Oryctolagus cuniculus: one gene and its partners. The protein of the gene in region 5 interacts with the protein of the main gene of each other region in a pairwise test. Links are inferred from orthologs where the notes say so. Each region holds a gene or a part of one and is shown on either strand. Other genes may lie near its edges. The genes, in order: NGLY1, TRIM32, MIEF2, SRGN, UBQLN1, TMUB2 and retrotransposon Gag-like protein 8B.

What was found.
Region 1: the proteins of UBQLN1 (region 5) and NGLY1 interact in binary tests that used the Homo sapiens proteins (3 or more experiments, as listed by UniProt). The two-hybrid records come from large-scale screens. The link is inferred for Oryctolagus cuniculus from reciprocal best matches to the Homo sapiens genes UBQLN1 and NGLY1.
Region 2: the proteins of UBQLN1 (region 5) and TRIM32 interact in binary tests that used the Homo sapiens proteins (3 or more experiments, as listed by UniProt). The two-hybrid records come from large-scale screens. The link is inferred for Oryctolagus cuniculus from reciprocal best matches to the Homo sapiens genes UBQLN1 and TRIM32.
Region 3: the proteins of UBQLN1 (region 5) and MIEF2 interact in binary tests that used the Homo sapiens proteins (3 or more experiments, as listed by UniProt). The two-hybrid records come from large-scale screens. The link is inferred for Oryctolagus cuniculus from reciprocal best matches to the Homo sapiens genes UBQLN1 and MIEF2.
Region 4: the proteins of UBQLN1 (region 5) and SRGN interact in binary tests that used the Homo sapiens proteins (3 or more experiments, as listed by UniProt). The two-hybrid records come from large-scale screens. The link is inferred for Oryctolagus cuniculus from reciprocal best matches to the Homo sapiens genes UBQLN1 and SRGN.
Region 6: the proteins of UBQLN1 (region 5) and TMUB2 interact in binary tests that used the Homo sapiens proteins (3 or more experiments, as listed by UniProt). The link is inferred for Oryctolagus cuniculus from reciprocal best matches to the Homo sapiens genes UBQLN1 and TMUB2.
Region 7: the proteins of UBQLN1 (region 5) and retrotransposon Gag-like protein 8B interact in binary tests that used the Homo sapiens proteins (3 or more experiments, as listed by UniProt). The two-hybrid records come from large-scale screens. The link is inferred for Oryctolagus cuniculus from reciprocal best matches to the Homo sapiens genes UBQLN1 and RTL8B.

Annotation. Positions count from the first base shown.
Region 1 is NC_091435.1:161,886,322-161,890,358, reverse strand, and holds the start of NGLY1 (peptide-N(4)-(N-acetyl-beta-glucosaminyl)asparagine amidase), read left to right. Parts: upstream 1-1,237; 5' UTR 1,238-1,256; coding exon 1,257-1,405; intron 1,406-4,037. UniProt on the Homo sapiens protein: Specifically deglycosylates the denatured form of N-linked glycoproteins in the cytoplasm and assists their proteasome-mediated degradation. Cleaves the beta-aspartyl-glucosamine (GlcNAc) of the glycan and the amide side chain of Asn, converting Asn to Asp.
Region 2 is NC_091432.1:220,201,029-220,205,217, forward strand, and holds the start of TRIM32 (E3 ubiquitin-protein ligase TRIM32), read left to right. Parts: upstream 1-1,389; 5' UTR 1,390-1,469; intron 1,470-1,608; exon of another isoform or gene 1,609-1,738; intron 1,739-1,885; exon of another isoform or gene 1,886-1,994; intron 1,995-4,189. UniProt on the Homo sapiens protein: E3 ubiquitin ligase that plays a role in various biological processes including neural stem cell differentiation, innate immunity, inflammatory resonse and autophagy.
Region 3 is NC_091448.1:62,264,245-62,268,267, reverse strand, and holds the start of MIEF2 (mitochondrial dynamics protein MID49), read left to right. Parts: upstream 1-1,223; 5' UTR 1,224-1,379; exon of another isoform or gene 1,380-1,603; intron 1,604-2,587; 5' UTR 2,588-2,594; coding exon 2,595-2,741; intron 2,742-2,823; coding exon 2,824-2,986; intron 2,987-3,113; coding exon 3,114-4,023. Other genes in the region: FLII (protein flightless-1 homolog), read right to left, coding at 132-194. UniProt on the Homo sapiens protein: Mitochondrial outer membrane protein involved in the regulation of mitochondrial organization.
Region 4 is NC_091446.1:60,863,734-60,867,729, reverse strand, and holds the start of SRGN (serglycin), read right to left. Parts: upstream 2,801-3,996; 5' UTR 2,007-2,800; intron 1,892-2,006; 5' UTR 1,780-1,891; coding exon 1,704-1,779; intron 1-1,703. UniProt on the Homo sapiens protein: Plays a role in formation of mast cell secretory granules and mediates storage of various compounds in secretory vesicles. Required for storage of some proteases in both connective tissue and mucosal mast cells and for storage of granzyme B in T-lymphocytes.
Region 5 is NC_091432.1:134,602,527-134,606,579, forward strand, and holds the end of UBQLN1 (ubiquilin-1), read right to left. Parts: intron 2,460-4,053; coding exon 2,307-2,459; 3' UTR 501-2,306; downstream 1-500. UniProt on the Homo sapiens protein: Plays an important role in the regulation of different protein degradation mechanisms and pathways including ubiquitin-proteasome system (UPS), autophagy and endoplasmic reticulum-associated protein degradation (ERAD) pathway.
Region 6 is NC_091448.1:19,069,291-19,073,219, reverse strand, and holds the start of TMUB2 (transmembrane and ubiquitin-like domain-containing protein 2), read left to right. Parts: upstream 1-1,129; 5' UTR 1,130-1,298; exon of another isoform or gene 1,299-1,326; intron 1,327-1,416; exon of another isoform or gene 1,417-1,879; intron 1,880-3,204; 5' UTR 3,205-3,229; coding exon 3,230-3,771; intron 3,772-3,929.
Region 7 is NC_091453.1:112,833,394-112,836,643, reverse strand, and holds retrotransposon Gag-like protein 8B, read right to left. Parts: upstream 1,761-3,250; 5' UTR 1,669-1,760; coding exon 1,327-1,668; 3' UTR 501-1,326; downstream 1-500.

The DNA of each region.
Region 1 (4,037 bases), on a different chromosome or scaffold from region 5:
TGTGTGGGATGCAAATGTTGATTCTCTGGCCCTCCCCCCACATCCTACTATTATTGTGGATGTGTTTCATGCTGGCCACCACATCCCACTGACGCGTGGCTCCTGAAGTTTACAAAACACTCCTTTACTGAATCCTATTATCTGAGCCGGGACTTAACCGACTTCAGAATCTGCATAACCAGGAACCCGTCAGGGCTGACGGCCAAGCTCCTTTTTTTTTGGACGGCTGTTGCTCGTTCCTTCCGGGGTCGTTCCTTCTGGGGGTCTTTTTCATCCATGGCTACTATCTGTCTAGCACCGCCTGGGCACAGAGGCCATAACAGTGTTTTATTGGTGGTGACGACAAGGAACCAGAAGCGGCCTCTCCACCTTCGCGGCCGGGTCCCGGCGGCTGGCACTCGGCGCTGAGGAAGCCGAGTTCCCCGGACCCTCTCGGACGCAGCCCACACCTGCACTCCGCGCCCCCCGACCCGGCCGGACACCGCCGTCCCTCCGGCCCGCGCCCCGCCCCCGCCCCCGCCCGCAGGCCCCCGCCCCGGCCAGACACCGCCATCCCTCCAGCCCGCGCCCCGCCCGAGGAGCCCCGCGCCCCCGCCCCGGCCGGACACCGCCGTCCCTCCGGCCCGCCCCCCGCCCCGCAGGCCCCCGCCCCAGCCGGACACCGCCGTCCCTCCGGCCCGCGCCCCGCCCCCGCCCCGCAGGCCCCCGCCCCGGCCGGACACCGCCGTCCCTCCGGCCCCCGCCCCTCCCCCGCCCCGCAGGCCCCCGCCCCTCCCGAGGAGCCCCGCGCCCCCGCCCCGGCCGGACACCGCCGTCCCTCCGGCCCGAGCCCCTCCCACCCCCCTCCCCGGCCCTGCAGGCCCCCGCCCCTCCTGAGGAGCCCCGCGACCCCCGCCCCGGCCGGACACCGCCGTCCCTCCGGCCCGCGCCCCGCAGGCCCCGCCCCGGCCGGACACCGCAGTCCCTCCGGCCCGCGCCCCGCCCCCGCCCGCAGGCCCCCGCCCCGGCCGGACACCGCCGTCCCTCCGGCCCGCGCCCCGCCCCCGCCCCGCAGGCCCCCGCCCCGGCCGGACATCGCCGTCCCTCCGGCCCCCGCCCCGCCCGAGGAGCCCCGCGACCCCGCCCCGGCCGGACACCGCCGTCCCTCCGGCCCGCGCCCCGCCCCCGCCCCGGCCGGACACCGCCCCTAGCGGGCAGCGGCGGCGGCGGCCGCGCCGCGGAGGCGCCTGCTCAGTGCGGGACGCGCGCGCTCGGGCATGGCGGCGGCGGCGGCGGCGGCGGCGGCGGCGCCGGGCGGCTCCTCGGGCTCGGCGTCCCCGGCCGTGGCCGAGCTCTGCCAGAACACCCCAGAGACCTTTCTGGAGGCCTCCAAGCTGCTGCTCACCTACGCCGATAACATCCTCAGGTGTGGGGCCGCAGGGCCGGCGGGGGGCCGGGGCGGGTGGGCCGCGGCGCCTGCTCGGCCCGGGGCTGAGGGGCGCCGACCCCGGCCGCGCGCAGGCGGCGAGGCCCGGAGGGGCCCGGGCCCGAGGGTGGCCCCGGCTCAGCTTCCAGCTCCGCCGGCCAGGCCGCAGCGCCGTGAGAAGAGCGAGTGCCTTCGCAGGTGTGACCGGGCGTTTGCTGGCGGCCGCCCAGGTGACCCGCCGCGCCTCGGCCTGGGGTTCGCCTGTGTTCAGTGCCCGGGCGGCGGTGCCAGCGGCGTGGCTGGCAGGTGCAGCCGCTTGTCACAGCGCGGTCCGCGACCGATTGAACGTCTCAGGACTACTTTCTGCTCCTGTTTAGGAAGGGGTGGGCTTCACATGGTTTGGGCTTTTTTTTTTTTTTTCTGCCCATGTTTGTTGGTTGCAATATTAACCATGGTGCTTCAGTTACACTTTATATATTAATATCTAGAGTCCACTTTGCAGTGCGATCCTTTAAGAATTAGTGAAGGTTGTCACCTTGGAGGAGACCTTACCCGTTGGGGGAATTGTCAGGCAAGGTTGATTATTGTCATGCTCCACCCCCGCCACTCCCAACTCTTCAAATCAGGCCGTGTGTCTTCAGGAGGGACATGGCTTTAGGGGAAGGGACTGGAGTTCCAGGTGCTTCCATGGAGTTCCCTCTTGGGTCACACTTGTGCAGGTTCTGGCGCGTCTTCCTCTTCTAAGCGGTGTGTGGATTGGCATGAAGTCTAAAAGTTCACTTTCAAGGCTGTAGGCACTATGTGACCCAATTTTTAGAGCAATTGCAAGTGCAGTTTTTAAACCCATGGCAGCAGCATTGTTTATTTAGGTAAAGTTAATGATTTTGAAAGTACACTGAAGGGACAAGCTGTTACCCCCTTATTATGTGCCAGGAGCTGTGAGAGATGCAGCACGTGGACTGTTCACAGCCAGAGAATTGTGACCTAGGTGAGGACCACCCTCCTTCTCTGTGACACCTTCTCAACTCACCTTGCCTACCCTTGGAGGCCATACGGCCCTTCCGAGTTCGCAGGTGCCCGTGGCTGCTGTGAGCGAATTTATAGGCTGTGTTCTCCCGAGGCCATCAGCTTGGTCTTCCAGCCTGGAAAGCCAGCCATCAAACTGTTTTAACCCTGCTGTTCAGAGAAGGCGGGTGGCCTTGTGATGAGGATTCACTCCTGCTTCCCGGCCAGTGGAACCAGGGTGTTTTGCGGAAGGAAACCTTTGCATGCGAATGACTGTGTGCATGGTAATCATTTTGAATGTTTGGTAAACTGAAAGATTCTTGGTATGGAATCAGTCCATGTACTGTCTTTACTGTGGCTTGATTCTGATGTTCAAGAGTTTCTATCTAAAAGGGGAATTATGAATTTGGAACTCAGATAATTGGAGATGGTATTGAAAACTGCACTTTTTAGTTTTTCTTAGCTGATAGTGTCCCTAACGTCATATTCTCAGAGTTCAAACCCCTTCAGGCTGGGGGACAGTGAGACAGCGGGTGGGGATGTGGAGGCTTGCCAGCTTCCTACAGGAAAGCCTCAGATCCCCTCCGCGTCTCCCACCACTTGACCTTACAGATCTGCTGAGCTAACTGCAAAATACAGAAGCTCAAGATTGTCTGTTCCCCACGCTGTTCGGGGCAATCTAGCATTAGAGGTAAGGGATTGTGTAAAGGGTTTTGGTTTGCTGTCCCTTGCTCTTACCTCAGGAAATGACATACAGTTTCCTAGAATGAGTGCTGAAGTGAGAATTTCATCAGGTTTTTATTAAGCACCAGTACTTGTCACTGTACACACTGAATCTCAAAAGTAATACTTTTGGTTCAGTTTTAAATGTATGCTTTGGATGATATTTAGCCTATCCTCCAACTGATAGCCATCAGTGTAATTATAGAATAAAATACGTGCTAATTTGCAGGCATAATATGTCATGGATTTGAACCTTTTTTTCTGTTCACTGACTCTTAGATAAAATGACCTGTCCTCTATGGTATCTACTTTCCCCAAAATTTGTAGCAGTTTCATTGACATTCTATAGGGGTTTGTAGAGCATTTGTTCCATTTATTCTTTAAAAGATATCCTGATTTTTCACTAATTTCCTTTGTACACTGCACACAATTATTGATGATAAACTGCACTGGCTAGTGATAGGGAAGAGCCAGCAATGGAAAAGTGGCTTATTTATCCAAAGAATATAAATCTGTTTTGTAAAAACACACAGTTATGAAAAGGGGCAACGTCATGTCCTCTATGGACAATTCCATGAGAGTATTTAAGTGCATGCGTGTTTATGTGAGGAGATAGCAAGAGGACCTGACATGGTACAGTTTTGAGAATAGAAGTTTGATGAGATAGGACCAGTTGGTGGAGTAGCAGAGACTGTATATCTGACATGATCTCCAAGATCACAGTTTCTAAGGTCAAAGAGAAGCATAAAATGAGAATGCTTCATGCAGAATAGTAGTAAGACACATGACATTGATTCCAGTTGTAAAGCTATTATATACTCATAAATGCAGATGGATTGGAGACAGGCAGTATAGGCAGGAATTGGCAGTTCTAATCACTGGATGCATGGAGTAGAGCTATAGT
Region 2 (4,189 bases), about 86 Mb from region 5:
GAAGAAAGGAAGAAAGGAAGAAAGGAAGAGAAAGAAAGAAAGAAAGAAAGAAAGAAAGAAAGAAAGAAAGAAAGAAAGAAAGAAAGAAAGAAAGAAAGAAAGAAAGAAAAAGGTGGATTCTCAGGGGCCAGTATTGTGGTGCAGTGAGCTAAGCCACTGCTTGGTCCGCTAGCATCCTACATCAGAGCACCTATTTTGAGTCCTTGCTGCTCTGCCTCTGATCCAGTTCCCTGCCAGTGTGCCTGGAAAGGCAGAGGAGGTGGCTCAAGTACTCAGGTCGCTGACGCCCACATAGGAGACCCTCATAGAGGTCTAGGCTTCTGCCTTTGGTTGTTACCATGTAGCAAGTGACCCAGCAGATGGGAGATCTTTCTGTCCCTCCATCACTCTTGTCTTTCTAGTAAATAATTAAAAAAAAAAAAGTGGTTTCTGAATTGTATTCAAATCTGGGCTCTGAAACTTAGGAACAAGTGGCTTTGCTATTGAATCACCTAGGCATCAACTGCCTATCTCAGAAAATCCTTATAAGTATTAAAGGAGCCAGGTATGTCAGATGCAGGCAGACAAGAAGTGCTCCAAGATGTTTTGGTACCATTTTTGTTTGCTGTTTTATCATTGTTCAGGGTAACACAGCTAAGTGGAATTTCAAATGCAATCCTATCCTACTTCACACTCCTTTGTGCTCCTAAACTACCCAGTACAGTCGTGACCTCAGGGACTATAGGTCACTCCAGTAGAGGGGACCACAGACCACCTGGTAAGTCTCCCCACCCCGCAAAAGCTAGACTCTGATTTGGGCTCCTAGGTAGCTTCAGTCTGCAGGGACAACCTGTGCTGTAGGCTGGAGAGGCAAAAGGTTTTACCGAGAATAATCTGATTAGGTAAAACTTCCTCCAGCAGCTGGTGCGGTGAGTCAGAGGTTTGCCCGGGGCGCTGCACTCTGAGGTGGGCAGGTTCTGTGCTTGCGCAGAATGCAAGTTTTAGTCTTTCTTTGTCCATTTTTCAGATGAGGCAACCGAGGTTCAGAAAGGCCTTTCTGAGGAGTGCAAAGGCTTTGCAGAGGACCACTCATGCAGGGCATGGTTTAGTGCAGAGGTTTAGACTTTGAGACTGGAATCAAACAAGTGAGTTCTGGCTTAGCTCCCAAATAGTTGAGTGAACTTGGGAAGGCGCCTTTCGCCCGTGGGCCTCAGCTTTCTAACCCATTCAAAGACACCAGAAAAGTATTTTGAGTTGCTAAGTGCCACCGTTTTTCGGTAAAGAGCTAGTCACGGAGGATATACCCAGCCCGGGCGCTCGCACTGGCTGGACCACAAATCCCAGCATGCCCCGGGGGAGGTGGGGGCGAAATGACGGACAGGTCGCTCTGCGAATTGCTGCCTCACAAGAGTAGCACGCGCCGCGCGTGCGCAGAAACCGGCGAGCGGTGGGCTGCCGGCGGCGGACGCGTCGGAGGCGCGGGCGGTCAGGTAGGGGGCGGGAAGGAGGGTAGGGGGAGGAAGGATCGTGGTCTGAGTCGCGGGCGGTGGCTGAGCGGCCGCGTTGGAGGCCCGCAGCCAACTGGCAGGGTGTGGGTACCGGATCTGAGGGCAAAACCTGGGTGGGGGTGGGGCTGTGAGGGGCAGTCTCGGGAGAAATTCGGTGGGGGTGAGGAGTTGCGAGGAGATGTAGCTAGCTGGGGGAGGGGAGCCAGGGGCTCTGAGAAGATTCGCAGTTGCAGCATCTCGGGAGATATGAGGTAATGTGGGACCCTTGAGGAGACAGGGGGTGCAACGTCTGATAAATGGGAGGGAATCTGAGGTGCTGGAGGGGTCTGGGTGTAGAATTGCAAAAACAGGAAGGACACAGGGCCCTGGTGAGATTTGAGGATCTCAGGAGATTTGAGGGAACCGGGCGGGGGCCAAGATCTAAGATTGGAAGGAGAAGGTGTAGGGCGAACCTAACTGCTAAAGAGAAAGGAATTTGCAGAGCGCTATCTGGGGGAAATGGAGGAGGTGAGTTCTTGGGGACAAGCAGTATCTTGTTAGCAAAAGGAAGGGGGCTAGGCTAAGGTTTGAAAGCAACACAAGAGACAAGATTTAGGTAAGAAAGAACGTAGCGGGGTTTGGGGACCGCACAGTGCCTGGTGGAATGCAGGAGATGAGATTCAGGTGAAACGATGACAGAAATCGGGGTGCAGGGCTGAAGGCTCCAGAGCTTTGGAAACACGGATTAAAGACTGTCAGGGGGATATGGGGCACAGGAAGGAAGAATCGGTGCGGGTTGCAATATAGAGCCCAAAAGGTTGCAATTCTGTATAGCAAGATGGTTGGGAACAGGGTTTTAAGAGGATTGAAAGGGGGGAGGGGTGAGAGGCGATGTCATGAATTAAAAGACTTTGAGTAGATTTGTGGGCTGGTGTTGGGCTACTGAAGGATTTTTTTTTTTTTTCCTAAACTCCCTGCACGGGAAGCAGAGGGTGTTCTGGGCACCTGAGCGTCCAAAAGAAATTATATAAATGTATGAAATTGAGGAACAGTCATGAGCCTTCGTAGGTCATGAAGGTGCTTTTACTTTTCTTGTGAGGGGCAGAATTTTCCTCAGTTATTAGCCAGAGTTCCCTGATGAGGCAGGCATGGTGCTGCCACTATCTCTACTTTGACTTGCTAACATTGGTAGGAAGAAGAGTGATCAAAGGGGTGATGAAGCAGAAAATGACAAGGTCATGTGCCTAAGCTTTCCTTTCCTTGTATCCCCAAGTTGTGAATGACAATATGAAAACTCCAGGGAAATGAGTGGAATTCATCCTGTGTAAGGTCCATTATAGCTTGAAGAGGCAGTGGCTTTGCAAAAGAACTGTTTGGAATGGGAGAGAAACAATAAAAGGAAAACTCTTTTATATTGAACTTTTGGTCCTTTGCTAGACTCTAAAGAAGTAGTCTTCATGAGGGGCAGTTTTGTCCCCAGGGGACATTTGGCAATGTCTGGAGACATCTTTGTCACAGCTGGGATGGTCAGTAGTGGGTAGACACTGGGGATGCTGTTAACATCTGATAATGCATGGGACAGCCCCCAACAGAATTATCCAGGCCAAAATGTTAATAGTGCTAAAACTGAGTGACTGTTCTGTAGTCAATATTCTGCGTTCAAATCCTGGCTGTATCTCTTAACTGTGTGGTCTTGAGTGAATACCTTAACCTCCCAGTGCCTTGGCTCTTGGTCTGTAAAATGAGTATAACAGGACCTATGTCATCATATATTGAAGATTCAGTGAAGGTATACATAGTGTGAAGTACATAGTAAGTGCTTAGAATTCAGTAGTTTTTGGTTTGTGTATACATTTCCTTAGTTTTAATAACAGTTTCCTGAATATAAGTTTTACATATGAAGGAACTAAGACTTAAGAAGTGGCTTACTTAAGGTTTTTTAGCTAGACTGGGTAAAAGTTAAACTAACATCCAGATCTCTGTAACTGTACATTTTCTCTTTGCTTCTTTCTTCCTTGTGTGGGCCTGCTTAGTCTTACTTACTTGGCCCATTCCCCACTACTAAAAAGGAAGATTGCCCAGTGAGTACACTGCATATCAAATTGAATTCTAAAGGTAGGGTGGTAACGGATGAGGCTAAACTATCTCTGATTAGGTATGGAGGATCCCTAATCTTTGTACTTGGTTTGCTTTTAGACCATGACCAGTGGGTAGATAGGGAGAGGAACTTGAAGGTAGCAGGATGGATGTACAGGGAACCAGAGTCTGAGGTATGGAGGCCACTGACTTGGACTTGACAAAAACACCTTCCAGCAGGTACTGAGGCTTAAGGCAGCCCTCCTGCAGGAAAATAATTACTGTTATGAGTGATCTCTTTTAAGTTTCTTTCCCCTGGTATAGCTTTAGGACTACCTACAGCATTGCTGAAGCCAGCTCAGAAACAAAGCTGGACTGGGTCCAGGGCAAGAGACATAACTAAAATACCCACATACAGTGCTTGGGAAAATGTATAGTGGGAATTCAGTCCATCTGGGAATCAGAGGCTAGAAGTCCAGACTCCTTACTCTGCTAATTTTCTGTGACTTTGGACAAGTACTTGTCTTGTCACTTTTTTTTTTTTTTTTTTTTTTTTTTTGACAGGCAGAGTTAGACAGTGAGAGAGAGAGACAGAGAGAAAGGTCTTCCTTCTGTTGGTTCACCCCCCAAATGACTGCTATGGCTGG
Region 3 (4,023 bases), on a different chromosome or scaffold from region 5:
GACGCTGGGCGGAGGCCCGGGGTGCCGGCTGCGGGCTGCGGTGGGGAGGCCCGCAGAGCCCCGGCCGCCGCCCGCAGTGTGGCCGGAGGCGGGCGAGGTGGTGCCCGCGCCGAGCCCGGATCGCCGCTCACCTTGAAGTCGTTGCCGCTGAGGTCCACGCCGCGCACGAACGGCAGCACCCCGGTGGCCTCCATGGCGGCGCCGCTCTCGCTGCCGGGCCGGCCGGGCGCTGGGGGCGGCTCGGGAGCCGCGGGCTGGGCCAGCGCCGACTCCGCCCCGTTAACCCGCCCGCGCCCGCCGCCGCCGGCACCTCGGGCCTCGCCGGGGCCCGGGGCCTTGCGCTCTGGGGACCTCGCCGGGGCCCTGGGCCTTGCGCTCTGGGGACCTCGCCGGGGCCCGGGGCCTTGCGCTCTGGGGACCTCGCCGGGGCCCTGGGCCTTGCGCTCTGGGGACCTCGCCGGGGCCCGGGGCCTTGCGCTCTGGGGACCTCGCCGGGGCCCTGGGCCTTGCGCTCTGGGGACCTCGCCGGGGCCCGGGGGCCTTGCGCTCTGGGGGCCTCGCACTCTGCGTCCGCGCACAAGGGGTCCCCGGCGGTCTCCGTGCGGAGCCGGGGCGGCCCCACCTTCCTCACCCTACCAAGGTGGTGGCCGGCAGCGAGTGACCACGCGCGCACGTGCGGCTCGAAGCACGCAGCAGGTGCTTGGTGCGTGGCAGGTGGTTCTCATTAAGGCCCGCATGCAAACCACCCTTCCCAGGGGCGCTGCCTACGTCCCCATTGTACGGCACGGGAAACTGAGGCCCAGGCGGACAGAGGGCAGGCCCAGGGACGCACGGGGCCGGCGGCACACCCCCTACCCCGCGCGCAGACAGGTGCTAAGGCGCTCCCGCAAAGGTGACTTAGGGGTCGGCGTGCAGGCCTTTGGACCAGGTGCTACCACCCGTCTGCCCGGCCAGAGGAAGGAAACTGGGGCCCAGCCAGCTTCCTCCACGCGGGAGGCTCACATCACACACGCACACGCGCACGCATCCCCCGCGCCTCTGTGGGCTCCAAGCAGGCACCACGCAAACGTTGCGGGCCCAATAATGCAGCCCTGCGCCTTTAAATCCGGAGTGCCCCCGGAAAGCCCCGCCTCCGAGGGAGCGCGCAGGGCGGAGAAGGGGCGTGGCAGGCCCCTCATTGGCCGAACCTCGCAGTGTTTTGGAACGCCCCTGAAGAAGCCGAGCGCTCCGATTGGAGCTAGGGCCTGCTCGTCTGCCTACGCCAGCGCCTCGGCCTTCGGGGCCCGGGTCCTTCACGTTCCATCCGCAGGCGGGTTCCGGCGCCGGGTCCCGGCGGGCCCGCTGCGTGGTCCGGTCGGTGTGTGGACGCCGCGACGCAGGTACGGCTGGGAGCCCGGCGGGGCCTCCCCGACAACCCGCATCCCGGGTCCCCCAGCCCTAGGTGTGGCGCACGTCCGGGGGCGGGGCCCGGGAGGATTCCTGTGAGCCCCGAGTTCGAGTCCCGGCCCTGCCGTTCCCGGCTCGGGTGCTTGACTGGGTTTCCCAAGGCCTCCGTTGTCCTCGCCTGTGAACCGGCCCACCGAGGGACTGCCGCGCCGGCCTGGTAAGCCCGGGCCCAGCGCCGGCGGCTTGCGGGTTATTTTTAACTGCTCGGTTCCTGCGCGCCCCCCACCCCTTAGGTGGCACGGAGCCCTCGCTGGGGCAGGTGCGCGTGCGCTGGAGGGGTGGGCATTTCAAGTGCTTTACGCACTTGGCAGCGTGGAGGCCTGGGGGCCGATGGCAGCGCTGGTCCGTGGCCGGGGCCGCGGGGGTCAGCCGGCTGGCCCGTGACCTCCCCCAGGACGCCGGAGCCCCGTCTTATTTTTAGTCTGGCGCTAAGAGGCAGGTGTCCCGGGCTGAGTCACACAGAGCTTCGGGCTCCAGCTGCCCCGGGCAGTGGGGGGGCAGGGCACCCAGGGCGCAGCAGGAGGGCGGGCCGTGACCTCGCCGTCCAACGCTGAGGCTCCCGGGTGCCCTTGGCCACCCGTCCCCTGCACCCTCAGGGCCCGAGGTCAGGGTGGGCGTGGGCCTTCTCTGCCTCCACTCGGGCACTGCTCACCTCCTACCAGCTGGGCTGTGGCTCCAGGCCTGCATCTGGCTTAGCATCCTGCAGCCAACCCCCACCCCCCGACCCCGCCCCGACCTCTTGAGGAGCCGGCCACAGCCAGGAGGCCCTGCCCCCCCATCCCCTACCCTGACCTTGTGCTGAGCCGGCCACAGCCAGGGGGCCCTCTCTTTGGGGTCTTCATCTTTGGAGTTCCCTGCTCAATGCCCTTCTACATGATGGCTCCTGGCAGCCCGGACCCTCTGCCAGGGGCCTCCGTGTGAGCCCCCTTTGCCAGGGGCTGGGTTATTGGCCGGTTTGGGGAGGGGTCGTGGCTGCTCCCCCGGCTCCGTGCAGGAAGCCCTGCTAGCAGCCCCTGACTCACGAGGAATCTTCCAGAAGCTCCTCCTTGTGGACCCCAGAGCCCCTGTGCCTGCCCAGCCAGGTGCCCTCCCCGCCCCACCCCCACCCCGCAGCTACCCCGCGCCCCCGGCTCCCCTGCAGGTGGACCATGGCGGAGTTCTCCCAGAAGCGGGGGAAGCGGCGTGGCGGCGAGGGCCTGGGCGGCGCCGTGGACTTCCTCCTGGCCAACGCCCGCCTGGTGCTGGGTGTGGGCGGCGCGGCTGTGCTGGGCATTGCCACACTGGCCGTGAAGCGGGTAAGGCCGGGCTGGCGGGGGCTGGGGCTTGGTCATGGCTGCCGGCCGCCAGGTGCCCTGCTCAGCGCCGCTCTGCCCGCAGCTCATCGACAGGGCCACCGGCCCCCGGGACGAGGATGACGCCAAGGGGGACGGCTGGACGGAGCTGAGCCTGCTCAAGGCCACGCCGCACCAGCAGCCCCGGCCCCCACCTGCCGCCCTCAGCCTGCCCGAGCCACGCCGGCCCCCTGCCCCCTCCACGCCAGGTGAGCCGGAGCCTGCGCCCGGGTCCCTGCTCAGGCTGTTGGAGCTGTGTGGCCAGGGTGCTGGGATGCGGTCGGGTTCCCGCAGTGCATTGTGGGCTGCTCTGACGTGTCCCCCTTGCCTCTGCAGAGGGGCCCGCGGACGCCGGTCCCCAGCCGCCGCCTCTGCTCAGCCCCCCGGCCCCGCTGTGCCTGACCTTCCAGGAGAAGCTGCTGGCATTCGAGCAGGCCCACGTGGCCATCCCCGAGGCCCAGGTGGCCTTGGCCAAGCAGCTGGCCGGCGACATCGCCCTGGAGCTGCAGGCCTACCTGCGGAACAAGTTTCCCGAGCTGCCCTTTGGGGCCCTCGTGCCCGGCGGGCCGCTCTACGACGGGCTGCAGGCCGGGGCCGCCGACCAGGACCACGTGCGCCTCTCGGTGCCGCTGGCGCTGGAGCCGGGCCTCTGGAGCCTGGTGCCCGGCGTGGACACCGTGGCCAGGGACCCTCGCTGCTGGGCCGTGCGCAGGACTCAGCTGGAGTTCCGCCCCCGCGGCAGCAGCCCCTGGGACCGCTTCCTGGTGGGCGGCTACCTGTCCTCCCGCCTCCTGCTGGGTCTGCTGCGCAAGGCGCTCACCGCCTCCGTCAACTGGCCGGCCATCAGCGGGCTGCTCGGGTGCCTGATCCGGCCCAGCGTGGCCTCGGAGGAGCTGCTGCTGGAGGTGCGGCACGAACGCCTGGAGCTCACCGTGGCTGTGCTCCTGGCCGTCGCCGGGGCCGGCACGGGCGCCGACTGCCAGCTCCTGGCCTGGCCCCTGGAGGGGCTGGCTGGGAACCTCTGGCTGCACGACCTGTACCCCAAGGAGGCTGCCCGACTGCGGGCCCTGGATGAGCAGGACGCCGGCAGCCGGCGGCGGCTGCTGCTGCTGCTATGTGGCGTCTGCCGTGGCCACCCCGCCCTGGCCCGCCTGGGCCGGGGGCCCCTGACGCAGGTGGTCCTGCGGGCGGGGGAGCAGGACGTGGACTGGACCGAGGCGGCCCTGGGGGAGCGCTTCCTGCAGGC
Region 4 (3,996 bases), on a different chromosome or scaffold from region 5:
CGTGGGAGACCCAGAAGAAGCTCCTGGCTCCTGGCTCCTGGCTCCTGGCTTCGGATTGGCGCAGCTCCGGCCATTGCGGCCATCTGGGGAATGAACCAGCAGATGGAAGACTTCTCTCTCTCTTTGTCTCTACCTCTCTCTGTAACTCTGTCTTTAAAATAAATAAAAATAAATCTTAAAAAAAAAAAAAAAAAGCCTCGGCCTGCAGCACCAACATTAGTGTCAGTTCAAGTCCTGGCTGCCCCACTTCTTATCCAGCTCCCTGCTAATGTGCCTGGGAAAGCAGCAGAGGATGGCCAATACCTTGGCCCCTACACCCCTGTGGGAGACCTGGAGGAAGCTTCTGGCTCCTGGCTTCAGATCAGCTCAGCTCTGGCCATTAAGGCTATTCAGGGAGTGAACCAGTAAATGGAAGACCTCTCTCTCTCTCTCTCTCTGTCTCTTCCGCTCTCCATAACTGTCTTTCAAATAAATAAAACAAATGTTTAAAAAAAAAGTAAAGTGGGGACTTGAACCCAAGCACTCCAGTACAGGGTGTGGGAGTCACAAGTAGCATCCAAGCACTGTGCCAAATGCACCCCCCGCCTCACAGCTCCTGAGCTTGTTGGAACACATGACCATTAGGGAACTGTTACATCAAGTTGAAGATTTCCCCTAGAAGACCCAGGTAAAGCCAGTTCCCTACATTCAAGGATGTTTTATTTCAAATATAAATCAATTAATGGAAAAGTTTCAGGAACATTACTTGCTGTTTTTCATCGTTATGAGAAAATAATTCTATAACTTTCCAATATATGTGGAACATCTCTGAGTTCATCTGTAAGATCTCATTTCCCCCGGAAGTAAGAGCATGACAGCTCGTAGTCACTTTGAAGACGCATATCCAGCACTTATGTGTCACTGTGACTCAACGTTTCCCCTTTCCACTTGGGGAACTTCTTATTTTCTACCATAAATTCTGCCATCTATTGATCAGGCCACGGCCTTGTGTAGACATGATTCCAAAGAAGAAGACATCACGTTTCTTATAAACTGGTCATTTTCATCTTCTTAGTCACCAATGGTTTCAGGTTGTTCCAGTCTAAGCAAACCACCCCCAGATGACGGAGAAACCCAAGAAGACACTGCCGAGTGTGATGCTTCTCTGAGTAACAGCACAAATACTTCCATCTTTTGGCCTCTCGTTAAAATCTGATAGGGTTTGCATTAACTATGTCTAACCACAATTGAATTTTCAGTAGTGACCAAGTTCTAAAAGAAAAAAAGTACACATGGTCAAATGTACCCCAATTTTGAAAACTAGCCTCTCCTAGTGTTAAAATAACAATAGCACCACAATGCACTAAACCCCCGAGGGGGGGCAGAGAGCAAATCTCCAAACACCCACAGGTGCTATCTCCAGACAGCAGACGTATGGACCACTTCTCATATCTCTTTCCTGGGTTTTTATGTATAAACCACACATATTAACCCAAAAATAACACAGCACACTGCAACCATTGCAAGAGTCCACAAGGCTGCACCTGCCTCAGCATTGCATTTTTCTTGGTACCAAACTTAATAGAACTCACACTAAGGAGTTCACCACTCCTACCCACCTTTGCCTCATGTTCCACACCACTATCCCTTCTGTACCCTGAAGGGACAGAAATTATTTGCGTGACCAAAGAAGACTCTAGGGGATCCAGACTCCCAGGTCTTACCTTGGACTGAAGAATCCAAAGTGAGGATGAGGCCGAGCGCCAGGACAAGCCCACTGCAGGTGAGGAGCTTCTGCATCGTGACCAGCTCAAGCCAACTCACGATTAGGAAATGCAGCAGGGTGCTGGCTGTCCCTTTTAGAGAGGGTTCCAAAACCTCAAACCCTGCCCAGAACTCACGTCACAATTTCCTGAACAAATAGAAAGAGATCCACATCAAAACCCAGAAAGCCAGAGAGAAAGAAAGGCCACGAAATCACAATTCATACCCATTATGAAACTGCCCTGGACTCTCCCCAGACCTACTTTTTCCGAAGCTTTGTTGTCTGCTACTCGCCTGTTGACATTTTTTTCCCATCAAAACAGTAGCATCAGCATTCAGGGTGGTCTGTTTCTGCTTCCCCGGGCACCGCTGTGAACTACAGGTGGCTCACACCCAGAGTCCCCTGCGGGACCAAGAGACCCTGCAAGGCGCTGCCTCTTGCTCGCTGAGCGCTTTTCCGTCTAAAATGTTCTGCCTATGCTTTTTCACCCGAGAGTAACAGAAGTCACTGGGCCAAGCTTGAGAAGCAACACCGCACGGCTAAGTTCTCATCCTCAAGAGCAAGTGGTCAGAGCTGAGAGAAACAGCTTCCCCTCCTTGGGCTCACTTGCTCCCGCTGGTGCCCGGTTCTCCCTCCACCTCAAGAACTGAGTGAGGATGTTCCTTCACAAAAGCTGAGCCAAACAGAAACCCTGCTTTGCAGCTCTCTGCTCTGGGACATCCAGTGTTTCCTACAATTGTGTTCCAGTTCTACACTCAGCTTTGCCCCTGGAAGAAATGTCCACCTGGATCTTTGGATCCTCTGGCCCTGCAGAAGCCAGAAGCAGGGAGCAAGGGGCGTGGGTGTCCTCTTAGGCGTAAGCTGCTGAGGTGTGAGCACACACAGACCCTTGTCCCCTGTAACTAATGTTTCCCGCGACCCTGGGGGTGGCGTGTGGATTTCTGTTGGACTGCGGCTCCGCAGGACAGTCCCACAACAGATGCGACAGTTTATCACACATGACCCCGGGCATACAATTTTCCTTACATCTTCTCAAGAGTCAGCCACGCTGCCCCCACCCGGCTGTCCCTGTGGCTCCTGCGCTTGCCCCACACTCCCCCACATCCTCACCCTTGCTTCTCCTCTGATAGGAGGGCGGAGTTTCCCTTCCCTTGTTCTCCGCTTCCTTCACCATTTCCTGCTGAGGACAAGGACAGGGGCCCAGAGTCTAACGGAGGAACAGCTCTGCACAGCTCTGCTGTGAGAACACAAGCGTGTGTCCAGATGCCCTGCAGAAGGCCCTCCGGAGCCAGCTGCAACCCAGACTCTGCCCAGGGACCACCACCCAAACTCACAAAGCCGGCAGGCTCCGCGCTATGGGAGATTGGGGTCAGCTGGGAATATGCGGCTTCCTCTTTGGTCTCTTTTCATCCTAGCCCCCAGATTAAAACTTTGGCACCCAAACAAAAGCTCCTGCCAATGGCTTCAAGAAGTTTCCTGCACACTCGCCGAGCTGATCAGAGCTTATGCTGGATCAAGGAGGGGTCTGCATACTTCATTTTCCCCTCTGGGTCGTGATGATTTCTCAAACACGTTTTCAGTGTTCATAAGCACTTGTTCTTTTCCCATCACATTGACAACCAAGTCCTTTTTCCCAATAGTCTTCCTCCGGCCTCACTGCCCTGGTCTTGAAGCTACACAGGAGCAGGATTAAGACATGCAACAGTCAGCAGTCCTGGGTCTTTGCAGCCTAGAAATGTTTGGGTGTGTGGAGGGAAATGTTAATGTAATCTTCCTCCTTTTTATAGTAGTGAGTTTGGCAACGACGTTGGATCTCTCACTGCTCATCCTCACTGGCTGGTGCTCGTCAGCCACACAGCATCAGGACTTACAAGAAATGGGGCTGATGCTATCTTGAGCTCATTTATTTTGACTGTGATTTACTTGAGTGGAGGCATTGTTTTTAAGGAAAAAACATTGTCATGTAGGTTGTCTAAAAATAAAACACATTTAAACTAAAAAAAAAAAAAAAAAAAAAAAAACACCTTAAAAATTAAGTCCTGGGTCCAAACCCATGTCCTTCACTAGCCAGCCAAGGAGTGCTGACCACTCACTCTCCATGCCTCCATCGGTCAGGTTCTGATACTGTCGGCAACCAACGAAGGGTTGGCCACAAAAGCACTAACATGGCACACGCTGTAGGGAAGGGTCCCATCTTCCTGCCCAAAGATTCCTCCAGTTAACCAAAGAGGATCTGTACTCTAAACTTCCAG
Region 5 (4,053 bases):
AGCACAGCCCAGGCTGTCATGGGCATCTGGGGAGTGAATCAGCGGACGGAAAACCCCTCTAACTCTGCCTTTCAAATAAATAAATCTTTAAAATTAAAAAAAAAAAAAAAAAAGTGGGGGGGGTGGGATCCCATAGTAGCATGACTATATGGACAATAAAAAAAAAAAAAAAAAGACCGCAGGAGCAGCTGAAAGAAACATCCCCCAGTCCAGTGCACCCTTGTCAATCTTACTACCACTTTTATAGTAAGAAATCATGCCTTTGTCAAAGTCAAATAAATAACTGGTCAGATATCAATGAAGCAAGTGGAGCCCAAACTGCCTCCACCATACAGTGTACTAACATTTTATTTAGGGAAGCCTGAAAATCTACTAAAGGATAATCAAAACATCAAGCTGGGGTAAATAGACGGCAATAAGCCTTTTTAAAGACATGGTTAGAGATAATAAATTGAAGGTTATCTTTTTCCTTCTACAAAAGAGGCAAGACAAACCAAGTGTAAAAGCTAGAGATTTATTGTTATTTTGTGATTAATAAATCATCAAATTGGTTATGACACTGTCCCACACTGTCCCACCATTCACCATACACAAGCTTTTAAACCAGACTGAGGCATAAGGCAAAAAGAGCAAAGACACATGAATCCCTTCCTCTGCAACCTCCTCTCGTCATGCCTCCGCCGGACCGTCACGCATGCGCTCCTCCTGGGGGAAGCATCAGAACAGTGCATGGACTGGTGGGCAACCCGGCATCCTAACCTTTTCAAATAGCAAGCAACTTATCAAAGTAATGGAATTCAACTTGTAGTTTCCTTGATTTTATTGGTCTGACTCATTTTAGTTTAACATTTTAATTTTCTGTAACTGTACATGAGATAATATAATGACCTAAGAGAATACTGAACCAGAGTCAGCCAAATATATTACTGACCCTGAAGTTATGTTTTAATTGGTCCTAAAGGAATGTACCACCCCGACAGTTTGAGAGTTAGGCAAACAGAACTTCTGTGGGGAGGGAAGAAAATGGCTATAGAACAGCCAAATGTATTCGACATTGTTAAAACGGCTCTTTGTTGTTCACCCCTGAATACTTCATTACTACACTATATGCACAGAAATCCTAACAGAATCTTGGTTGCCAGTATTACTTAGGCTGGCCCAATCCAGGATAGACTCCGCCACCCCACCCCCACCCCACTCCCCTTTCTCTGAGGCTCTGAAAAGCACAATATTTAACTATTTCTTAATAGAACTACCCAAACACTTCAGAAACAAGTGGCTCACAAATCATTTTAAATTCATGTATTGCCTGTGCATGAGAAAACTGATAAACCAAAAGATAGTCCTATTTGTATATGGCAATTAAAAATAACTGAAACATCAAGACACTTTCAGTGAAAGCAACATTTCAATTACAAATTGTAATGCCTGCTAAACTACCTATGGGCGAAGCTGAAAAGTCCTAGGCAAATGCATTTGTGGGTATACTACAGTGCTCCTTCAGTCTGCACAAAGAGTAAGATAATTTACAGTCACTCTGTGAATGCTGAGACAATGTTACATGATGTTGTCTGTACAATTAAATGTCCTTGAACAGACAGCCAAAATCAGCTTTTCTATTATAGTTTCCAATGAACCTGACTAACCGGCACTTTTGCTGAGAGATGTTTACCAAAGATGCTGTAAGATTCTATACAACTGGGAAATACTCAGCTTTCAGAGCATTTCCTATTCTTACTTTTGTGATTACAGGTGTTTGGGTCAAATACTGCAGTTTGTTTCTAGAAAGGTGCATTCTCTGTGTTGTATACAAATAAAGCAAAAATCATCAGGAGTATAAATCTTACAGCATTCTGTTTGCAAAAATACATGCCAAAGTCACAATAAGCAATATTGTACCACAAATTATAGAGCGCAAATGATTTGCTTCTTTTTAATGCTTTTATTCTACATAAATTACTACCATAGGCTAATGTTTAAAAAGCAAATAAACTGGACAGATGCAGGACCAAAATCAGTTCACCCAACTATAAAAGGTGATGTTTTAAAAAAATTACAATAAATGCAGAAGTGTTTGATGCATGCAGTAGCCTTAAATGAAAAAGCATTGATTCCCACGGTTCCAAAAAAGAAAAACACAGAAAAACCCACACATCTTACTGAACTCCACCTTAAAATCAATCATATTGGGTTTGTTTATAACAGCACAGAATTCCAAGAGTCAAAATGAAATAAAGCAGGTATTTTAAAGATTTAAGAGCCGTTATCAAAAATAAATTACATTTTTTCAAGATACAGAAATGCTGCTATGACGGCTGGGAGCCCAGTAACCTTTCAATAGCTGCGTTGATGTCACCTCCTGTTGCTATTAGCGCCTGCAAGTTTGCTTCACGGTTCAAAAATCCCATTGCACTGAGTTGTTCCAGTTGTTGCTGAAATCTGACTTCTGGATTCTGTAGCTGTTAAAGAAGGAAAATGAATCAAATTCTAAGGGAAATCAGTCCATGTCAGACACAAATGACTTTTTAAAACTTAACTGCTCTTTTATAACATATGTCGGTTTGTTCAGTTTTAAAACGCTCTTTTCTCTTGAAACACCTCCAACGTATACAAATGTACATTAGCACTTTATTTTGTTGCTTTTGAAAAATCTATCTGAAAAGCAGGAAGAGACCAATCAATCAAATGGATTGATATTCCATCAGCTGGTTCACTCCTGAAATGCCAATAGCTAAAGCCGGATCAGGCCAAAATAGGAGCCAGAAACTGAATCCACATGTCCCATATAGGTGGAAGGGACCCAAGTACTTGAACCATTAACCGCTGCCTTCCCAGGGTGTGCATTAGCACAGAGTAGAGCCAAGACTTGAATCTCAGATACGGGATATGGGTGTCCAAAGTTTCATATTGACCACTACGCCAAATGCTCGCCTCTACTTTGTTATTTTAAATGGTCTAGTTTATACCTAAACAATAACCAGTTAGGTCATACAACTGATGTAAAAAAAAAAAACTTCAACCATTACTTTACATGCTCATGAACATGCAGAAAAACTTGGACATTTATATGTAAATTCAGAGTTCCCACTGACCAGTGTCCTAGAGCAGGCGTTTAGTCTAGAAGTTAAGACGCTTGTGTCCCACGCTGGGAATACCTGGGTTCAACCCCTTGCTCCTGATTCCAGCTTCCTATTATTGCAGACTTGGGAGGCACAATGATGGCTCAGGCAATTAAGTTCCTACTACCTATGAGTCGCTGGCTCCCAGTTCTGACAATGGTCCAGCCCAGCTGTCATATTTGGTGAGGGAACCAGCAGATGGGAGCGCACTCATGCTCACCTATAGAATTTTAAAGTTCCAATGAGGCTCAGAATGTGGATTACATTTCTGAACCAGCCATCCAACCTACAGCCTCAAAACTATACTCTTAATCCTAACGACTCAGCTGCGTCACATCTTTCTTCAGAAATGAGGCTTGTAAAGTCTGGGGGCAACCACCTTTGTATAATGGTACATTATAAACGATTATTCTAAAGATAATAAACGTTTACAATGCAAGAATATTGGGGAGAGTCTATATTTTTAGCTTTATTTGTGAGGTATATATATGTAACACAAGTTACTACAGGTGGGCAGTGCTGCGGTTACATGGAGTGAGGTAAGCAGGATTGTTTTTCAAAGTCTAAATACAAAGACTACATATGTCCAGGATGTGCTCAAGATAATCAAGTTTCTACTCTTCTCTGACAAACTTTCATTAAACAATATTCAATTCAAATGGATTTTCCAACAGGAACTTCAAAAATTAATAATTTTAAAATGCAACTTCAAAAATTACATTCCTTGTAGCATTTCTTCAAGTACAAAAATGTTTTGTTTCGTGTCTGATATAGCACCAAAGTCAACTTTTGTAACATTTATTTTTAATTTCAACTTTTTTTTTAAAGATTTATTTATTTGAAAGGCAGTTAGAGAGAGAGAGGGCTTCCATCTGCTGGTCTACTTCCCAGATGGCTGCGATGGCTGGGGATAGGCCAGGCCAAAACCAGGAGC
Region 6 (3,929 bases), on a different chromosome or scaffold from region 5:
CATCGCAGGTGGCAGCTTTACCTGCTATGTCAACACTGTATCCCTTCTCCTTTTGTTTTAAATATTTATTTTATCATTTTTTGAAAGGCAGAGCTAGGGAGACATCAAAAGATACATTTCATCTGCTGGTTCACTCCTCAAACAGACACAATGGCCAGGGCTGGCCCAGGCTGAAGCCAGGAGCCTGGAGCTTCTTCCGGGTCTCCCACGTGGGTGCAGGGGCCCAGGCACGTGGGCCGTCCTCCACTGCTTTCCCAGGCCATAGCGGAGAGCTGGATGGGACGTGGAGCAGCGGATGTTGGTGTCCCACTTGGTGGTTTAGCCCGCTGCGCCACGACCGGCCCCGGATTCCTTTTATATAAAGTGCAAAATCAGGAAAACTAACCTATGACGGACTTCAGTGGCTAGACGAGGTCTGAAGGGAGCTGGTTCTGGGGTCATTTCCTTTGCTGCTTCTGCAGGCTCGTTCTGGCCGAGAGTTCAGCCGGTGCAAACCACCGAGCCCTGCACTTAGGATTGCCCCGGCTGCATTATTTATACTTTAATCAACAGCTCATTAAAAACACAAACCCTTAGGTAAGTGCTGGGGAGCTGAGCTTTTTCTCCCGTCTCTCTGGCTCCTTTTCTCGTGCCCCGAGGCTGCGATGAATCCCTGCCTCTCTGAAACGCTTTCCCGCCGTATTTACCCAGGCTCCACGCCACCTGGAGCTGCCATCTTCGCGCACTGCCTAACCTGGCCCCTCCATCTGCCCTACCAGCCCAGAGCCGAGGAGGTCCTCACTGATTCCGGGGACTTGGAGCTCAGTCCGCGGCCCAGGGCGGTAAAGAATCCCTTCAGCCTGGGAGCCAGGGAGCAAGGCCTGAAGAAACAGGCCGCAGAGTGGGCGGCCTCTTTCAGGCTCCGGCCGGGGGAGCCAGCCTGGGCAAAGTTCCACGGCCACGAAGCCACGCCCCGCCCCGAGCACCTCCCCCCGGCCCCGCCTCTCACCCCGGTCGGCCTGAGGCCCCGCCCACCAGGCGTGGCCTTGAGCCCGGAGGGCCGCGATCCCGCCAACAATGACTCCGCCCCTTCTTCCGCTGAGAATCCTGTCCCTTTTATTTAAAGAATACGTTTACGTCAGCTCGCCTTACGTAGACGTGCGTCATCAGTGCAAGGCGCGGAGGCGGGACTTCCTATCTGTGGTTCTAACAGCTTCCGGGAGAAGCCGGAAGAGACTGGACTGTGGACCGAGTCGAGGATTGCCAGCCCCTCCCCCGGTCCCTACGGAAAGACGAGGCCAGGGGCCGTCCTGGAGAAGGTAAAACTATTTAGTCTGGACTTTTCAGGTGAGGACCTCCTTCCCCATCCGAGCACAGTACCAGTCCAAGCCCCCTTTAATTTTCCCATGACTCCTCGCGCCCTCAAGCCCCACCCCCGGTCCAGCAGCCCCGCCCCGAAGTTTGAGGGGTGTGGATGGTTTGTGACCCCCTCACCTGATCCTGCCCCTCGGGGCCTAGGAGAGCTGGGCTTGGGCGCCGTGACCGGAACCCGGCAGCCCCCGCGCCAGCGTTGCGGGAGCAGGACCGCCCAGACGCGGAGCCTGCGGCTCGGACAGACGGGGAGGCGGACCCTCCTCACTCAGCGCGCCGACGGGCTGAGAGGGCGAAGGCCCGGGGGGCGGGCGGGCTGGGGTCCCGGTGTCCAACCAGCCGTTTCGGTCGCTTCGCCGCCACCCTTTTCTGTAAAGCGCGGCTCATGCCATTACCGCGCCTGCCGTGAGGGCTTGGTCGGGGCAGTGGTAACCTGATGGCTGCCACTTGAACGGCTGCAATGTGCCGGGCAGCGCGCTAGGTAGTTTGCTTGGGTGATTTCACGTCATCTTCCAAACGACCGGCCGAGGTAGGTGCTATTTTTAACCCCGTTTTACCGAGGCTCTGAGAAAGTTGTCCGCCGCCAGGAAGAGGCAGGCGGGCGGGCGTTGTGATGGGTTGCTCTGTGTTTGCTTTCTCCCCGGCCGCAGGGGCAGGGCCGGCGTGGCGGGTGAGGCCGAGGTTGGTAGGTTCCCCAGGCGCGCAGTCCTCCTTGTCTCCTGGATCGGGTAGAGAGCCGGACAGCTAGAGCCGTGTGAGGAAGTTGCGCAGGTGCGGTGAGGACAGCCCGATGCTGGTGACCGCCGGCCTGGACTTGCCCAGGGGCGGCTGTGAGCGCAGCAGGTTCTCGGAGGAAGCGCGCAGGGTCAACGCCGCGGCCCAGGGAGAGCTGAGAGGGCCTGGGAGAGCCGGCGTGGAATCCTTCCCGAGGCGGTTCACCTGGGGAGTGCGTGTGGTGCTTGTGAGCCCCTGGTGGCCCCTCCGGTGGCCTCTGGGGAGGTGTGACTGCTTCGATGAGAGGTTCATTTTCCTTAGGTCTTGACAGCCGGGCCTGGATCTGCGACCGTGAGGGAGAAGGGGCTCAGATCTGCAAGGCTGGCCGCACAGGGCCTCCGAAGAGGCCTTAAGATAAAACTTTTCGGATTTCTTGGTTTCTCTACAGCTGCCTTGGAGGTTGCTTAGGGGACATACTTGCTTGACCGAGTGTTGGAAAGTCTAAGAACTGCGCTCAAAGAAGCGAATGTTTCTCCCCATTCACTAAAAAGTAGCAGCCGTGCAGGCGGGTGCTGTGGAGCCTGGGTATGCGGCCGCCAGTCGGACATCGCCGTCCTGTGTCGGAGCACGGGTCTGTGTCCCGGCTGCTCCGCTTCTGCTGCAGCTCCCTGCTAAGGGACCTGGGAAGCAGCGGAGGATGGCCCAGGACTTGAGTTCCGTATGGGAAACCTGGATGGAGTTCAGGCTCCTGGCTTTGGCCTGGCCCAGCCCCTGGCAGCTGCGGCCACGTGGGAAGTGACCCTGCAGATGGAGGACCTCTCTGCACTCTGCCTTTGAAATAAATGTTTCAGAACAGCAAACAGTGGCAGCAACGACACGCAGAGGAGGTCTTGCCGGGGATCTGCTGGTGGGGAGGTTGGAATGTGGGAGGAAGGGTGTGCAACCTGAGAGTTTCACAATCGTGGCAAAGGGTAAGGCCTTGGCTTTCAGTTTGGGGTCCAGAGTTAGGAAGCTTTGTGCCTCCCTTCTCCACTGAACTCCATTTGCAGTCAGGGCTGGGTCAGTGAAAGCCCAGACAAGCTAGAAACCTGGTCACAGCTCCTCGGGCTCCACTGATGCCGCCCCTCTTTGTTCTTGCAGCCCGGACCCCGTCGGCAGCCGGACCATGGAGCTCTCTGATGTCACCCTCATTGAGGGTGTGGGCAATGAGGTGATGGTGGTGGCCGGTGTGGTGGTGCTGATTCTCGCTTTGGTCCTAGCCTGGCTCTCTACCTATGTAGCAGACAGTGGCAGCAGCCAGCTCCTGGGCACTATCGTGTCAGCAGGCGATACATCTGTCCTCCACCTGGGGCACGTGGACCACCTGGTAGCAGGCCAAGGAGCCCCAGAGCCCAGCGAACTCCCCCCTCCATCAGAGGGTAATGATGAGAAGGCTGAAGAGGCCGGCGAAGGTGGGGGACACGCCACAGGGGAGTCGGGGGCTGGAGGCGGTGCCGAGCCCAGCCTGGAGCATCTCTTGGACATCCAAGGCCTGCCCAAGAGACAAGCAGGCAGAGAGGGCAGCGGGCCTGAGGCCCCCCTGCGCTCCGAGGCTAGCACCTGCATCCCTGCCAGCCCCGGCCTCATCCATGTGCGGCTCAAATTCCTCAATGACACCGAGGAGCTGGCTGTGGCCAGGCCCGAGGACACTGTGGGTGCTCTGAAGAGGTGAGTGGGCTGGAAAGCGGGAGGCTCCCAGCCCTTGGTGGGGGACGGTGGGGAGCAGCAGGGAGGCGTGAGGCACAGCCCCTACCAAGGGTGGGGGGCATGCTTCCTTCAGTTCCCTGGCCGCCCTCCCACCCCTCACCTTTGTCTTTCCTTCCGTG
Region 7 (3,250 bases), on a different chromosome or scaffold from region 5:
GGTGATCCCTTGGGAATTTGCAGAAGTGCACAGCATCACTGGAAACTAAGAAAATGTTCAAAATGTTTCTTGGGATTTGAAAATGAAAATAAAAAAAATCAGAGTAAATAAAACTTTCACAGCTGCTTAGAAACAATGAGTGTATAAATTTTATATTTTATAACAATTTGAGACTTGGGCTTTCAAATAACTTTTGAGAAATAAGGAAATCATTTCAATGAACCCTTATGGATGAATTCTCAAATCACCTAGGGGAAAAAAAGAGAAGTAAAGATTCATTTCCAAAGAGCTATGAAACATTTCTAATAGCATTATAGGATTCAGCACCAGCGACAGAATGCTCAGTGGTAGGTTCTCCATCCCCAGGACCACGGCAGGAGTGGAATCTTGATTTAGGATGGTCCAAAGAAACACTGAAACAGGTCATGCGGTTTCTGAACAAGATACAGACCCGCTTTGTAGGAGCACGGAGGGAAAGGTGGCACACTCAGTGAACGCAGTTTCTTATTGGACAGGGTCTGACATTTATTGAAAGAATGGAAAGACTTCTGTACAGGTAGTGTAAAAGAGCCGCGAAGACCACAGGGTCATAGTGTGGGACACAAGGCACACATCAGAGAGACAGCTGCACGTTCGGAAGAACCGGGACTCGGGGGGGCGGGGAGAACTACTGTCATGTCCACGGGAGGACGTGACAGGCGCGATTCAGCGCCCAGACCCTCAAGGTGTCTCTGGGAGGAGGGGGCGCGGCCTCACTCATGGTGGGAGGCCGGCTGGCCCCGCCGGGCAGCCGGCTGTCGGAGTCGGGGTCCGAGGGCCGCGGCCAGCCCAGACCCCTCGGAGGGGAGTCCAGGTGGCTCAGAAGAGCAGTCTGTCGGCGGGAGGCCGGGGGCGGCGGCGGCGGCGGCGGCGGCGGCGCAGGTGCGTGGGCAGAGCGATGCGGGCTGGCGGGGGGCGGCCGGCGGTGCGTGGTTGGTCGTCGGCCGCGCGGCGGGGGCCCAGCCTGCAGCCCGAGGGCCGGACGGCGGCCCCCGGTGCAGGGCACAGGCCGGGCCGGCGGCAGCGGGCAGGGCGGCGGCGCTGTCCAGAGCCAGGCCCAGAGGCAGCAGCGCCAGCCTGGAGCGCTATTCCTGGAACAAAGGCAAGCACGACGCGGGCGGGCGGGCGGGGGCGAGGGGACGCCGCGGCGACTCGGGGAGCAGGGGGGCGGCGGGACTCGACTCGGGCGCGAGCGCGGCGGGGGCCGCCCGCGGCGACCCTGGCGGCGGCCGGCGGGCAGCCCACCCTCCCCAGGGCAGCCGGCCCCGGGCCCGAGGCTCCGGCGGCCTAGAAGTCCTCGTCCTCCTCCCAGCCAAAGACGCGCTTCATCTCGGCCAGAAAGCCCCGGTAATCACTGAGGAGGGGACTGTCCTTCTTGATGTAGGGGATCACCCACTGCAGGGCGGGCCCCGTGAGGCGGGTGATGAGGAACGTCACCTTGAGCGCGTCGCTGGAGAACGTCTTCTCGTCCACGAACATGTAGGAGCCCGTCTGCACGATGAACTCCGGCAGCCGGTCGGTGTCGCCGTCAAACGTCTCGGGAAAGGGGATCGGGTTCCTCCAGCGACGCGCCGCGGGCCGCAGCGGCCGGGCCAGCAGGGCCTTCACGAGCCGCATGCGATTGTCCATCGCGCCGAGCTGGCTGGCGGGGCTGCGCGGAAGGCTGCGCTCGGGCGTCGCGGCGAGGACTCGTCGCGGAGGCGGGCCCGGGGAGGGGCGGGTGTGGGCGGAGTCACGCGCCGGGCTGCGGGCGGCGCGCGGGCCCGCCCACCAGGCCGAGCGGTCGGCACGGCGCAGGCGCGTGTCGGGAGCCAGCAGCGGCGGGGGGAGAGGGAGGCGCGGCAGGGGGCGGGATAGGGGCGGCCGGGGGCGTGGCCAGCCCTGGAGGAGGCGGAGTTGGAGGCGGGAGGGGGCGGTCCCAGGCGGGCGGCGGGCGGCGGGCGAAAGGCGGGGAGCCGCGGAGGAACGCGACACCCCAGATGCGTGTGGCGAGGCTGGGGTCTGCTGCTCTTGGACAGCTTCTGGTTCCACTTGGGGAAGTTAGCGAGTCCGGGGGCGTCGCCCTTCGTCCTCCCTCACTCCGCGCCCTTGCGCATCCCTTTGCGGATCTGGGCTCTGGCTGCCTTTTGAGGGAGGGTCTCTGAACACATGGTGCAACTCGGTCGTGTGTCTCAGCCAGAGAGGTGTTGACTCTGCAACATTACAGGCCAACCCCAAGTACTAGCGCAAAGTAATTACACCCTGAGCAGCTACTGTACGGAGGGTTGAATGCAAATAAATACCTTAATTTCCTGCAGTAAAATTCGGTGTGTGATTTACCTAGTTCAATCACTTGTCTATGGCACAATCCTGCCACGAATTATGAAACACGAGACACCTATTATCCCTTCAACACCTGTTTTTCCCCTAAATTTCATACTGTGCTCCTTGCACAGCACGTCAGCAGTTCTGGACTATTTCAAGGACGTGGAAAATGCATGTGTGTGTAACGACAGTGGCAATGCTGTAGAAGGGAGAGGGAGCATGAGGGAAGGGACAGGAGCACAGATGTTCCTGTGCAGGCATGTGGAGCCGGTCCTGATTTAAAAACAGCTTTGCTGGAGAAGGTGACTAGGATGGAGTTTCCAGAAAACTTCCTTTGCCCTAAACGGGGCCTGTCGACCAGACCAGACGTTTGAACGTTAGAGTTAGGAGATACATAAATGACTATAAAAGCAGTAGAAGGGAGAATAATGCTTCCATTTAGCTTCAGTTTGCAGCATAGTCTCTTTAACTGTTGGTAGATCTATATAGACCACTGAAGTACCAGAAGTGCCTTGAAGGATAGTCAGAAAAACACTAAACATTCAACCTATCTATTTTTCTTTTTTTATTTAGTAAATATAAATTTCCAAAGTACAGTTTATGGATTACAATGGCTTCCCTCCCCCATAATTTCCCTCCCACTCGCACCCCTCCCATCTCCCGCTCCCTCTCCCAGTCCATTCACATCAAGATTCATTTTCAATTATCTTTATATACAGAAGATCGATTTAGTATATATTAAGTAAAGATTTCATCAGTTTGCACCCACACAGAAACACAAAGTGTAAAATACTGTTTCAGTACTAGTTATAGCATTACTTCACATTGGACAACACATTAAGGACAGAGATCCTACATGAGGAGTAAGTGCACAGTGACTCCTGTTGTTGACTTAACAAATTGACAC